3 linked regions of the Oreochromis niloticus genome follow. The protein of the gene in region 2 interacts with the protein of the main gene of each other region in a pairwise test. Links are inferred from orthologs where the notes say so. Each region holds a gene or a part of one and is shown on either strand. Other genes may lie near its edges. The genes, in order: wdfy3; nuclear factor 7, brain; ubtd2.

Region 1 (3,755 bases), on a different chromosome or scaffold from region 2:
GTGCAACATGTTTTTGTCACCAAGTCAATGTTGCCTGTCTTGTAACATGAGACAGAGGAGCAGGAAATGATCTCATGCTGAACATGTCTGGTCACGACCAGAGTTAACTGCATCTAAAATGGGCATCTATTTAGTCCTGCACTAAACAACGCCTGGATAGTTGTCATCACAGACTAATATCACATAATTAGTCTTACAGTTCTACTTGTGCCTCGTCTGCCGGTTGATTTGAAAGCAGAGCGGCTGTCGTGTATCCTTGACAAAAAAATACTGATTTATTTCTCAAAAATGTGAGCGCTGCACTTTCATGTGCTCAAAGAGTGCCAATACATTTCAGTAGTGTGTTAGCTGGATCGCTGAATGGTATCCATGACAACTAGCAGGCCTCACACAAATTGCTGCCTGTCAATTATATAATTACACAATATTAGGTACAGGAGGGTGACTTTTGTAGTCAATTAAATTTTAAATATCAATGGTAAAACATATAGATGTATGGTAACATTTTGATACAACTTCCATATATTTGAAGCATGAACAACAATGCATTATAATCTCCATTTACAATTATAATGACAATCAACGATAGCCCCAGAGTAAACCTTTCACAACATCTTTGCAAGTTTATTTTCATCTTCAAATAGCACCACTACAGTTTTTCACAAAGGGCAACATGATAACTTCTCTTTTTCCCCCTTTTATCTTATCACAGTTGCCCAAATTTTCAGCTTTGATTTTGCATAAGCCATTCCTACTCAGTTATGTTTAGTAAGAGAAAGAATAGACTATAAAATGTGAGTTTTAAATAGCTTTAAACATTTCATGTAAATATATTCAAACTACACATAATCTTAAAAACAAGCCAAAAATATGCAGTGTGCAGACTAGGGTTGGGTAAGTGGAAGAATATACTCATTAACTCTCAGGGGATTTTTTCATATGCATTACACTTTGTTGGTGGTCTATATTCTTGTGTATTCAAAGCAAGGAGCAATAGAAAATCATGGTTGGATGTGTGCACTCTTATGTCTACTTTATTTGAAATAGTGCCACAAGAAGGTGCCGCCTTCATTTTGGTTGTGTTGAGCTTGAGTCGAGTTGTACACAGAGACTTGCAGAGATTCTCATCATGTATTGGTAGCAAATGTAGGGCCATAGAGACTGAGTACTAATATAATAACAGTGCAAATATAAAATGTATAAAGAAGGAATTAGCTTTAAGTCTTGTATATTTACACATTCGAGATTGTTAGCTCAAAACCAACAACATTTTGAGCTACCAAGCTATAAAGGACCACTAGCTGCACTACCTTAATTATTTAATAGCATATGTTATCCCTGTGTGTTTGTTTAATCAGAGGTTATAAGGTATCCTTCATATGACTGCTAAGTATAATGGGTACACACACAAATCACTGGTTGTTGGCCTGACATTGAATTAGATTTTTTAAAATGACCAACCTTAATTTCTGCTTCCTGAAGCCTAACTTTGATGTCTAATATCATTCTTACTGACTTATAAACAGCTTTGGTTTCCGACCATTATTAAAACAAGATAACCGGGATAATTATCAAGCTATATTCGATTTTGTCAATCAGCAACCAACTCTACTTATGCTGCTATACAATAATCCAAATACGCTCTCCAACAGTCTGTGGCATATTTAACTTGGTTTGTATTTCTTTTGTTCTTTCCTTCAGCTTAATTACAATTTCAAGTCCACAGTAAAAAAGTCCATTTGTTTTTCCCACATTGGATAAATCTATTTGCTCCCAAGTCTACAAATAATCGTGTTATGCAAGATCCCAATAATGTCCAGAATTATTGTGATTATATTTTCTGAGACTGTAGGTTGTAAGTAGGTTAAATGTCATCCATGTTATTTTATTAATTTAAAGTGTAACAATTATTGAAGGCTACCCTCTTCTTATAGTGTTGAGCATTTGTGATGTTTTTGTTTAAACTTTAAAATTATTAACACTCTTGAGAAGAACATCTTCTATCTAATGACATCTTTAGGCATTTTACACGTATCTTTTGCTAAGTCACACATTTGCTTCGTTTGGGTTTGGCCGATGATTGCTTTAACCACATCGGGATATATTCTTACAATAAAGATGCAACAGTAGGAGATGCTGTAACTGCTCGATGGTGACAATCTCTGGAATCGAAGCTTAATCGTCAATCGACGTGAAACGGTCGCTGACACCGAGAGGCAGTTATTTTAGATCAATAACATCAATAAACATACTATATCCACCAAGGTCAGGCTTTTACCAGTGAACAGTAAACAAACCCCTGGTCGCTGCGGAAACGAGCTCGGCACCCAGCTCTGATTTTCCCTACCTGCTATTCTCTCTGCGCTCCGCCAGCATCTCAACTCATCAACAGAAGAAGAGACAAGAATATTCCACCATAAGCCAAAGACCAGCCGCTCTTCCTCCCAACAACAGTGTCTTCCTGAAACAGAGAGGCGATGGCAATGGTGTCATGCCTTCCCCTCACAGCAGCGTAAGGAAAGGAGAGGAGAGGAGAAGCGCGGAGGCATGGCTCGCCTTTATTGGCAGTACCAGTGGCTTTGTTCGCCAGTCAGCATACTGTGTGTGTATGTATGTATGTATGTGTGTGTGGTCTGCCGGGACTGGCACAGCTGATCCCCCCCTGACACCGGGTGGGGTGTACAGGGCTTTGGTGGAAGAGGAGGGGAGGAAAGGAGGGCGGGCTTTGGCCTCAACGACGACAGGAACATACCATTACCACAAGAAAAGGGGAGGAGGAGTGGGAGGCAGAACTCACAGCAGTGAGCATCATTAAAAATTCATTTTCTGGCCATTTCGGTCGCCATCCTGTACATCCAAGCTCAGACAGCTCACATTAACTTTGCATTATTATGTGGTGTGCTTTCGGGGACAAGTACAGGGAATGACAAAAGCATTCTCAATTAATCTACATGTGTCACACTAAAGCATTTGTAGAAGGCAACTGAAATATTAATACCTGATAACATTTTTCATTTAAAAGCCAAAAATGTACCTTATCATAAATTCTTTGAAAGCAATCACTGAGCTTCTGTAATGTTCTTAAAAACAGAAAAGGGCTAAAATGAATAAAAACTGACTGCTATTTTAATAATTTAGTGGTTAATAGGAATGTGTGTGACTAGATGTTTAAACAATGCTTTCCTCACTAGTCAGCACTGGAAATCCCACATACATACTGTAAGGAGACTGGGCAGTCAAAGTTCCCTGAACATAAATCTATGCAGGAATAATGTAATGATAAAGATGTTGGTTACCCCATTTCTGACCCCAAAGAGCCCCCCAACAACAAAACATCAAACATGTTAGCCAACAGTGTTGTTGTTGTTGAGGGCCTTGGTATTTCTCAAGCTTCTTGTGTTCCTTCTTCCTGATGTTGCTATCACTTGGTATAGCTACATGTATCACTACGGCCTTCTGCCTCTGCTTTTCCACCACTACTATGTCCGGTTGGTTAGCCATCACCAGTTTGTCCATCTGTGTATGGAATCCCCACACAATCTAGATTTGGTTATTCTTCACCACCCAAGGAAGTGTCTCTCATTTTGACTTTGGGACTTCCAGTCCACACTTGGCACGATGTTCCAGTACGCTATGCTGGCCACTTGGTTATGGCGTTCATGCATCCCTGCTTGCTAGCATCTTGCACCCTGTTGTTAGGTGCTGGATTGTCTCAGGGGCATCTTTGCACGTGATGTCTTGCCTGGTGTGGTAGA
Region 2 (3,755 bases):
GAGTTTGTATGATAACGATCTCTGAGTCTTTTTAAGCTCTTCCTGGGGTGGAAAAATACCGAGCTATGCTGTGACAAACGGTGGGGTTCAGTTTTATTTTGTCACATTTGAAATTTTTGTTACATGTTTTTGTTTTAATAGGGTTTTATTATTACAGAGTTATTACTATTTAATAAATATATATATTTTTTAAACTGTTGCATGTCAGTGAAAATGATGACACACTTACTTCTCATTGACTGTAATGGTGTGACACTAAAACTGGATGTGTCCTATTTTACTGTTATTGTTGCATAAAATTATATTTTTTCTTCTTCTCTGGAAATATGACTACAATCTTATATTCAATAGATTAAATCAACAACTTTACACTGTGACTGTTCAGACCAGAAGTGGTTCATGAAATGGGAAAAATCAGTAATTGTTATGAGGAGACGATACATTTTATGTCATGTGGCACAAATGATTATATCGATCGATAGATAGATAGATAGATAGATAGATAGATAGATAGATAGATAGATAGATAGATAGATAGATAGATAGATAGATAGATAGATAGATAGAGGTATGTCTGCATTTTTAACACAGAGAAGAAAAAGTGACAAACTTCCTCTGCTCTACCACATCCTGTCATACTGACAGAGAAAGGGAGAAGTGAAGAAAAAAAAATCTGTGAATCTGCATGTAAACTGGGTCAAACAGACAGACAGGAAAATACACCCGCTGACACATTTAAACACACAGATAGTAAAGGAAACAGTCTGTAATAACCTGGAGCAGAGCTAGACGAAGTTATCTGCCACTGCAGAAATGCTCCAGTGCATTCTCTAACACTACCCTCATATCTGTGTTTAACACACACAGCGAGTGTTTCGGTGAACTCCTTCCTGTGCCTGTCGAAACTCTATCAGCTGAGTTCCCTCGCAAGCTGTGTGACATGAAGCAGTTAGGGCACATGAATGGCAAAAACATGTGAAAGAAGAGCGCATGACGAAGACAAACACAAAATGACGTGTGTGAATGTTCATGAACCTCCCTTTTTATTCCAGGATGAGCTCCTGATAATTATCACGTCTAAACAAAGATGAGTAAGAACATGGTGTGTCACCACCAGTCGTTAGTACCACCAGTCATTACTACTGCCAGTCATCCCTCTGTCTTGACAGGTAAAGGTGGAGGAATGCGTCAGAATGTTGCCTGGCCGCTAGAATTTCTGGTTATATTTAGAGGACAAACACACTGGCGTGTTTTTCTTTCACAGTGCTTCACAAAGAAACAGCCAGCACACACAGAGACACGATACCTTAATGAGGAGGATCTTTTCATTGGTCTGTTTTTGGAAGAGTGTGGCCTCCTCTGTCTGCACCTGAACCCTCTCCAGAGCCACAGACAGCTTTTCCTGCAGGACAAACAGATAATCACATAAAAACGTTTGTTGAAAAGAGGTTATATAAACCAGATTACGCTTCAATCAACAGTTAATTTGATTCGTGCATCAGTCTGAACAGCGTCCCGTCTTTAATGGGAGTCATACATCCGCCAATCCTCAACTGAGCGCCCTGACCCCAAAAATCTAACAAAGCTGGAATTTAGCACTGCTTAAACATGTTAAGACACACAGAGAAGCCTCTCAGAGCAGGTTTCCAAACAACATGATGAAGGTCAGCTGCCAGGTTTGAAAGGTAGTGAAGTTCACACAGGTCTGCTGAATTCCTGTAATGCACAAAAATACCCAAAGACTCCTGGGGCAGACAGGGAGTGTGCTCTTTAAAGCACAACTGCTACATCTATGAAAAGCCTGTTTGCTACATTAGAGCAGTTGAGGGGTTTTTTTAGTAAAAAAGTAGTTTTGACATGACTTAAAGGAATACTTGAAACTTGAGAGGGAATACAGTACTGCAGTACAATAAGAGGAGTGTCCAGTTGTAAGCATTGTAAAGTATGACACTCCTTGAAACTCTGATTCCTTGTTTTATCTAGAAGCTCCAGCTGTTACACTGTAGAGCAGAAAAAATACAGTGGAAAAAGAAATCAAATTTGGTGATTATGTTGGTCAAATCAAAACATTGTCTGTATATGTCTGATTTAAGGTTTTGGAAGACCCGGAGCCTTAAAAAATGAGCCAATAATAAAACAGTACCCTGTAGTTTTCAAAAGCCTCTGTAATGGGGATGACATTGTGGCTCTTGTGGTCTCGAGACATTCCGCACACTAGGCAGATGGGAAGCTGGTCGTCCTCACAGTAGAGCTTCAGCTTCTCCTCGTGTTCCTCGCACATATCCAAACCCATTCCCAGGCGTGGCCAGTGCCCGATGGACGAGGCCACGCTGCTCATGCTCGAACCCCGCTCGCGGTCCTCGGGCATCTCCAGTGTACCTTCGTGGTCCCACACGCACATCCCCGAGGCCGCGTCCATGGCGCGGGCTCTGCGCACACTATCCACGACGTTGCACAGGAGCGAGTTGGGTCGCAGTTTCCGGGCGCACGACTTTCTACACTTCGGGCAACTCGAGAGTTCGTCCGCCTTAGCTTCCCAGCACTGGATGATGCACACCTGGCAGAAGTGGTGCCCGCACTCAAGGATCACGGGATCACGGAAGAGTTCCAAACACACCGGGCAGGTGAGCTCCGACTGTAGCTCTTCAAGCGCGCTGGCCTCCGCCATCCTCTGCTACGCTCATACTTCTCAGAAGACACGTCTGTGGGAAACACTGTAACGGGGAAACAAGACTAAACTGCTCTTCCGTTCAAATTCAGGGAGGGAGTGGTCTGACGCTGACAGCAGTACGACTTTTTTTCACGGAAGAGGCCAAAGGCGTGTAGAAACAGGCTCGACTGGGCGTGATGAAGGGCTCCATTAAAGGGCGCGGTGTGTTTATGATTGCCCAGAGCGAAAGAGGGTTTCTTAGAAAGAACAGTAACAAGAAAGGTCACGTTATTGCTGCGAGGAAATATATGCGGAATTTTTAAAAGGGGGTTGTACCAGGAACAAATTGGCTGACTTGTTGGTTTATAAGTTTTAAATTATTAAACACTTACAGGAAATAAATCAGAAACGTGTGAGCTGAAACTTCTGTGTAGTAGGTAAAAGACACAAACCCAAAAGTGATTTCCCGTATTTGCCAAAAAACGATCGCAAAAAACGATTTAAACAGCTCTGAATAAGTTGTTGGCCTATAAACTCATACAAACCTATCTCTCTCTGAGGATATCAAGTCATTTTGAGACAGAAACGACATTCCTGTCACAATCTGCAATTAATCTTTGGCAGAGTTACTTTTATTTGTTCTTTATTTATCCAGCAAAAAAGTCTCACTGACATTAAAAATGTAGTGTTTTTTAAAGATCTTGCCAAGAAGGCAGCATAAATTGCAACAATTATGACATCACAGCTCTATAAAGATGTTTTAAGTGGCCAAAAGGGGCTGGATTCATTACAATGTAGCTACAATAACGCAGAAATACTTTTACTAATTTCTATATTTTATGTATAATCTCTTCTTAAATCCTGTTGATCACAGTCTATTTATAAATATAAGTAAAGACATTAAACATGGAAACATACAGAAAGATGGAACAACAGTTGGAACAACACCCATCTCAGACAGAATTGAAAGCATTTACAGGCTTTTGAAGATTGAAACTAAGTTTTGAAGCCTTGAAATGCATTTGAGTTTCCTTCTTCACAAATACATCACAGGTTTTACCCTACATGTTTTCATAGTGTCGGTGTAATCAAGTCCCATTAATGG
Region 3 (3,755 bases), on a different chromosome or scaffold from region 2:
CATCTCCTGTGGCCCTGAGCTCGATAAGCGTTCGACATTTATTTGACAAACTGAAACTAACTACATTTGAAGGTTGTTCATTTTGGACCCTGATTAGAAAAGTTATGGTAAGGGGGTAGCATGAGCCTTCAGTGTGACAATGTCAAATGCTTATACCTGATTGCAAATATGGACAGATGGAGATCTGACAGCCTGACAAGTCATTCCTGCTTTAAGTTCACTGCCTGCCTGCCTGCTCATGCTTTGTTGGTGCATTGCAATGCAAATTCTCTGCAGTCAAGTCTACAGCGTTATAAAAAAAACAGGCATGGACATGCGCTCACAATCTGATGATGAAATTTATGTCACTTGGACCCGAGCAGACACAGAATATATAATCAACAATGTGTTTCTGTTCACCAACTCTAAGAAATTAGCTCCACTTCCTTATGCTCGTTAGATATGAATATTTATCCCAGCTCAGAAAGGGTGTACCGTTTCTGAAAGTAACCCAAGAAGACTGGGTTACTTTTATGTGTTACTTACGTTTATCTGATTTCTGGCTAATAGGTTAACAAAGAAAGATGTATGCAATTCCTGAGAAAATCTTTTCTTTTTTTGTTAAAAGTGGCTTAAGACTCTCTAAGAGCTTAAGTACTATATATTACAATAGTCAGGATTCTTCTTTGGCTCTAGCTATAATTTCTTAGAGGGGCGCCAGACCCAACACAGGTACAAAGCAGCTCCAAGGCGGAAATGCTCAACTATGAAGTTGAATTGCTTATTTTCTTCCTGATTTATCTTTAGAGGAAAATATAACTGCGCCAACTTTCATTGGACAGGCTCTTTAAACAATTTTATGTGATTATACAAAACATTAGCAAAAGTACCAAACAATCAGTAACATCAGGAACATAAAAGCATTTTAGTGCGTCATTTAGTTGTAATCATTTTCCAGCAGTGCATGCCTGAATTCCTGTGGATATGCTCTCATGTTATGAACTTGTCTGCATGACTCTCTCCATATGTCTTCATTAGCCTGCTTTCCACATCGTCTGTAAGCCAATAATTCACGTATATCTTTAAACAGTAACCTACTTGGGTGTCATTCAGTAAGGATTTATGTAGGCCGGTATGCACAACAATTTAACATAAAAATTTCTGCAATGTAAACCTGCCTACGAGATCTGATTTAGTGACAAATAAATGTGCCTATGTTGAACTGAACTGTGTCGTTCCTGCTTGCTTGTCTGCATCCGTTTAATGCTGCAGCGTCTCTTGATCCTCCACATTTTACAGATACCGCTGCTGTTTATACGCAACATCTAGTCAGGGAGGAAGCCTGAGGAACTGACAAAGACAGAAGCAGAGGCAACGAGGGAATGAATAAAGGAAACCAAGTTTTATCTCAGCATCTCTAAGTGTTCAGTCTCCACCCCGCCCCCCCATGACCAACTGTATTTACCGCTCTGTAATTAAAATAACTCACTGGCTGTGAGCAGAACTCATTTTCAGATCAGACAAACCAGGAAACAACACTAAGGAAGTTGTGTACAACCTCAAACGACAAGAAGGGCCTCTTCCCCCCCCCCCCCATATCTTTCTTTTTTTTTTTTTAAAGATTCACACCATTTAAACGCAATAATTCCCCTTAAACCCCACCCAGAGCTTTTATAGTTGACAAAGCACCCTTCTTTCACTGTGCACCCTACCCAAATCACCAATGTAAACTATCTAATAAAGGGAATATGTACTACAGCATGCATTCATACACAGTGTCGCACTCAATTTCTCACTGCTTGAGCTGTCATCCCTACTATGCTTTGCGACTGCATGCAACTCCATTTATTGCTCGGTAAATAAAACTAACCTTTACCTTGCAGTTTTGTCCGATATATAACTTTTTGCTCACACGATAAGTTTCGCTTTTAGTCATAAAGCTACAGTTTTGACACCTCCTCCACTCTTCCGACCACTTTTCAGGACACAGCATGACCCGACACCTCGTTCACAACGAAAACAATCAATAATAATAATAATAATAATAATAAATATATAAGATAAGATCAGCAGCTGCCATATGTGCACCCCTACTCGAGCTGTCAGTAACTTCAAGTTGTGCAGAGAGTCTGGGCATAATTCAAATCTGAAATCACACTGAATCACGCCTGAGCGCTCCCCTTGCATACCATTGCTGCCTGTGACCCATATTTGTTATGCAGAAAGCTAGCAAGCTAACTAGCTACGTTTTAGCCGGCTAGCTTAGTCAACACCAAAGAACAAAGGGAGGCAGCCTGGCACAGTCAATGTTTCCCACTTTGTAAAGTACAGAGCAGACGAGGCGTCGTTTGCCGTTTTAAGGCCAGGTGCATGGAGGGAGACACCCGGCAGGACTGCTGTCTGTCTTCGGCTCTGTCTGGCTCGGATATTAAAAGGAAGGGAAGAAGACCTCCAGTCAGGACAACATGCAGGGAGCCTGGAGGAAGCCCTTCATAAAAAAAAAAGGAAAAAAGAAATGCAAGCTTGTGGCCAATAAAAGACGTCGACAAGCCCCGCAAGTTACCTCCAGTGCCGTCCGAGTTCTCGTTTAAGCTGCCCGAAGAGTCGTGGTGGCTCCCGACACAGCCACCCATGGATGTTTCAGCAGAGCAGCCCGGGCTAGGTAGCTCACCCCCCGGCCCACAGCTACAGCTACATCCACTACCCCTCTCTCGTTTTTCTCTCTCTCTTCCCCCTTCCCCTCCTTTTCTCCCTTCCTCCCTCCTGTCCTCTCCTTCCTCCTCGTTTCCTCCCGTCTTTCCCTTTCTCCTCGCTTCCTCCTTCCCCTCCCCTCCTTCTCTCAGCATAGACTGAGCTCAGCAGGCATTATCTTCTTCGTGTTTTTCGGCGGCGCAAGAAGGTCTGAGAGAGGTTCACATCGGTGCAAGGTGACCGAGGTAGGAATGAAGGAGAGAAAGAGAGGGGCCGAAGGAGGAAGAGACATAGAGAGAGAACAAAGGAGAAGTGCACTGTGCAAAACAAAACAAAAGATAAAGATAATCTTTAGGGTATGAAATGTTTGCTTTGGACCTTCTGCTCTAGTGATGTTAATGCATTTTGACACATCTGATGTCATGTTCATGTTCATGTTTGCTGCACAGATGAAGACACATCAAAATGTTCACCCTCTATTATTATTATTTATTATGTTCTCATTCATTCAGCTGGCAGACTGTAGTAGCTGTGCTGCCTATTATGTTCTAATTTCCACTCTATTTAATTTTATTATTCAATTAATTTTTTAGTTTTAATGCACAAAATATTGTTGATTTTGTGTTGCGTGGTTTTTACTCTACTCTGCTCTCCTTCCTGCATGGGAGGCTTTCATTAGTGAAACTAGTTTGGTGTTTTAGACACACAGTTTAAATTTATTAAGTTGTACACAAACTGGATTTTACCCTACAGAGCATAATGAAAGCAGTTACAGTTGCAGTCAGAAGTTTGTATACACTCATCATGGTAATGATGTTACTTTGATCAATTCTTTTTCCAAATAGGAATTTGGTACAGAAGTACCACAGGAGTAAAGGTGAGGCTTTCAAACCTAACAACACTCTACCAGGTGTCAAGCATGGGGGTGGTAGCATCATGCTCTTTGGCTGTTTTGCTGTCAGCGGTATTGGTACATTGCATAAAGTGGATGGAATAATGAAAAAGGAGGACCACTTCCAAATTCGTCCACTTCGCCTCACATCAGCAGCTAGAAGGGTAAAACGTGGTTGTTCCAACGGGGCAAT

The links.
Region 1: the proteins of nuclear factor 7, brain (region 2) and wdfy3 interact in binary tests that used the Homo sapiens proteins (3 or more experiments, as listed by UniProt). The two-hybrid records come from large-scale screens. The link is inferred for Oreochromis niloticus from reciprocal best matches to the Homo sapiens genes TRIM39 and WDFY3.
Region 3: the proteins of nuclear factor 7, brain (region 2) and ubtd2 interact in a two-hybrid assay, tested with the Homo sapiens proteins (2 studies listed by BioGRID and IntAct). The link is inferred for Oreochromis niloticus from reciprocal best matches to the Homo sapiens genes TRIM39 and UBTD2.

Annotation. Positions count from the first base shown.
Region 1 is NC_031977.2:34,658,020-34,661,774, forward strand, and holds the start of wdfy3 (WD repeat and FYVE domain-containing protein 3), read right to left. Parts: upstream 2,652-3,755; 5' UTR 2,377-2,651; coding exon 2,348-2,376; intron 1-2,347. UniProt on the Homo sapiens protein: Required for selective macroautophagy (aggrephagy). Acts as an adapter protein by linking specific proteins destined for degradation to the core autophagic machinery members, such as the ATG5-ATG12-ATG16L E3-like ligase, SQSTM1 and LC3.
Region 2 is NC_031966.2:22,736,516-22,740,270, forward strand, and holds the start of nuclear factor 7, brain, read right to left. Parts: upstream 2,856-3,755; 5' UTR 2,669-2,855; coding exon 2,144-2,668; intron 1,403-2,143; coding exon 1,307-1,402; intron 1-1,306.
Region 3 is NC_031975.2:18,857,890-18,861,644, forward strand, and holds the start of ubtd2 (ubiquitin domain-containing protein 2), read right to left. Parts: upstream 2,910-3,755; 5' UTR 2,826-2,909; coding exon 2,543-2,825; intron 1-2,542.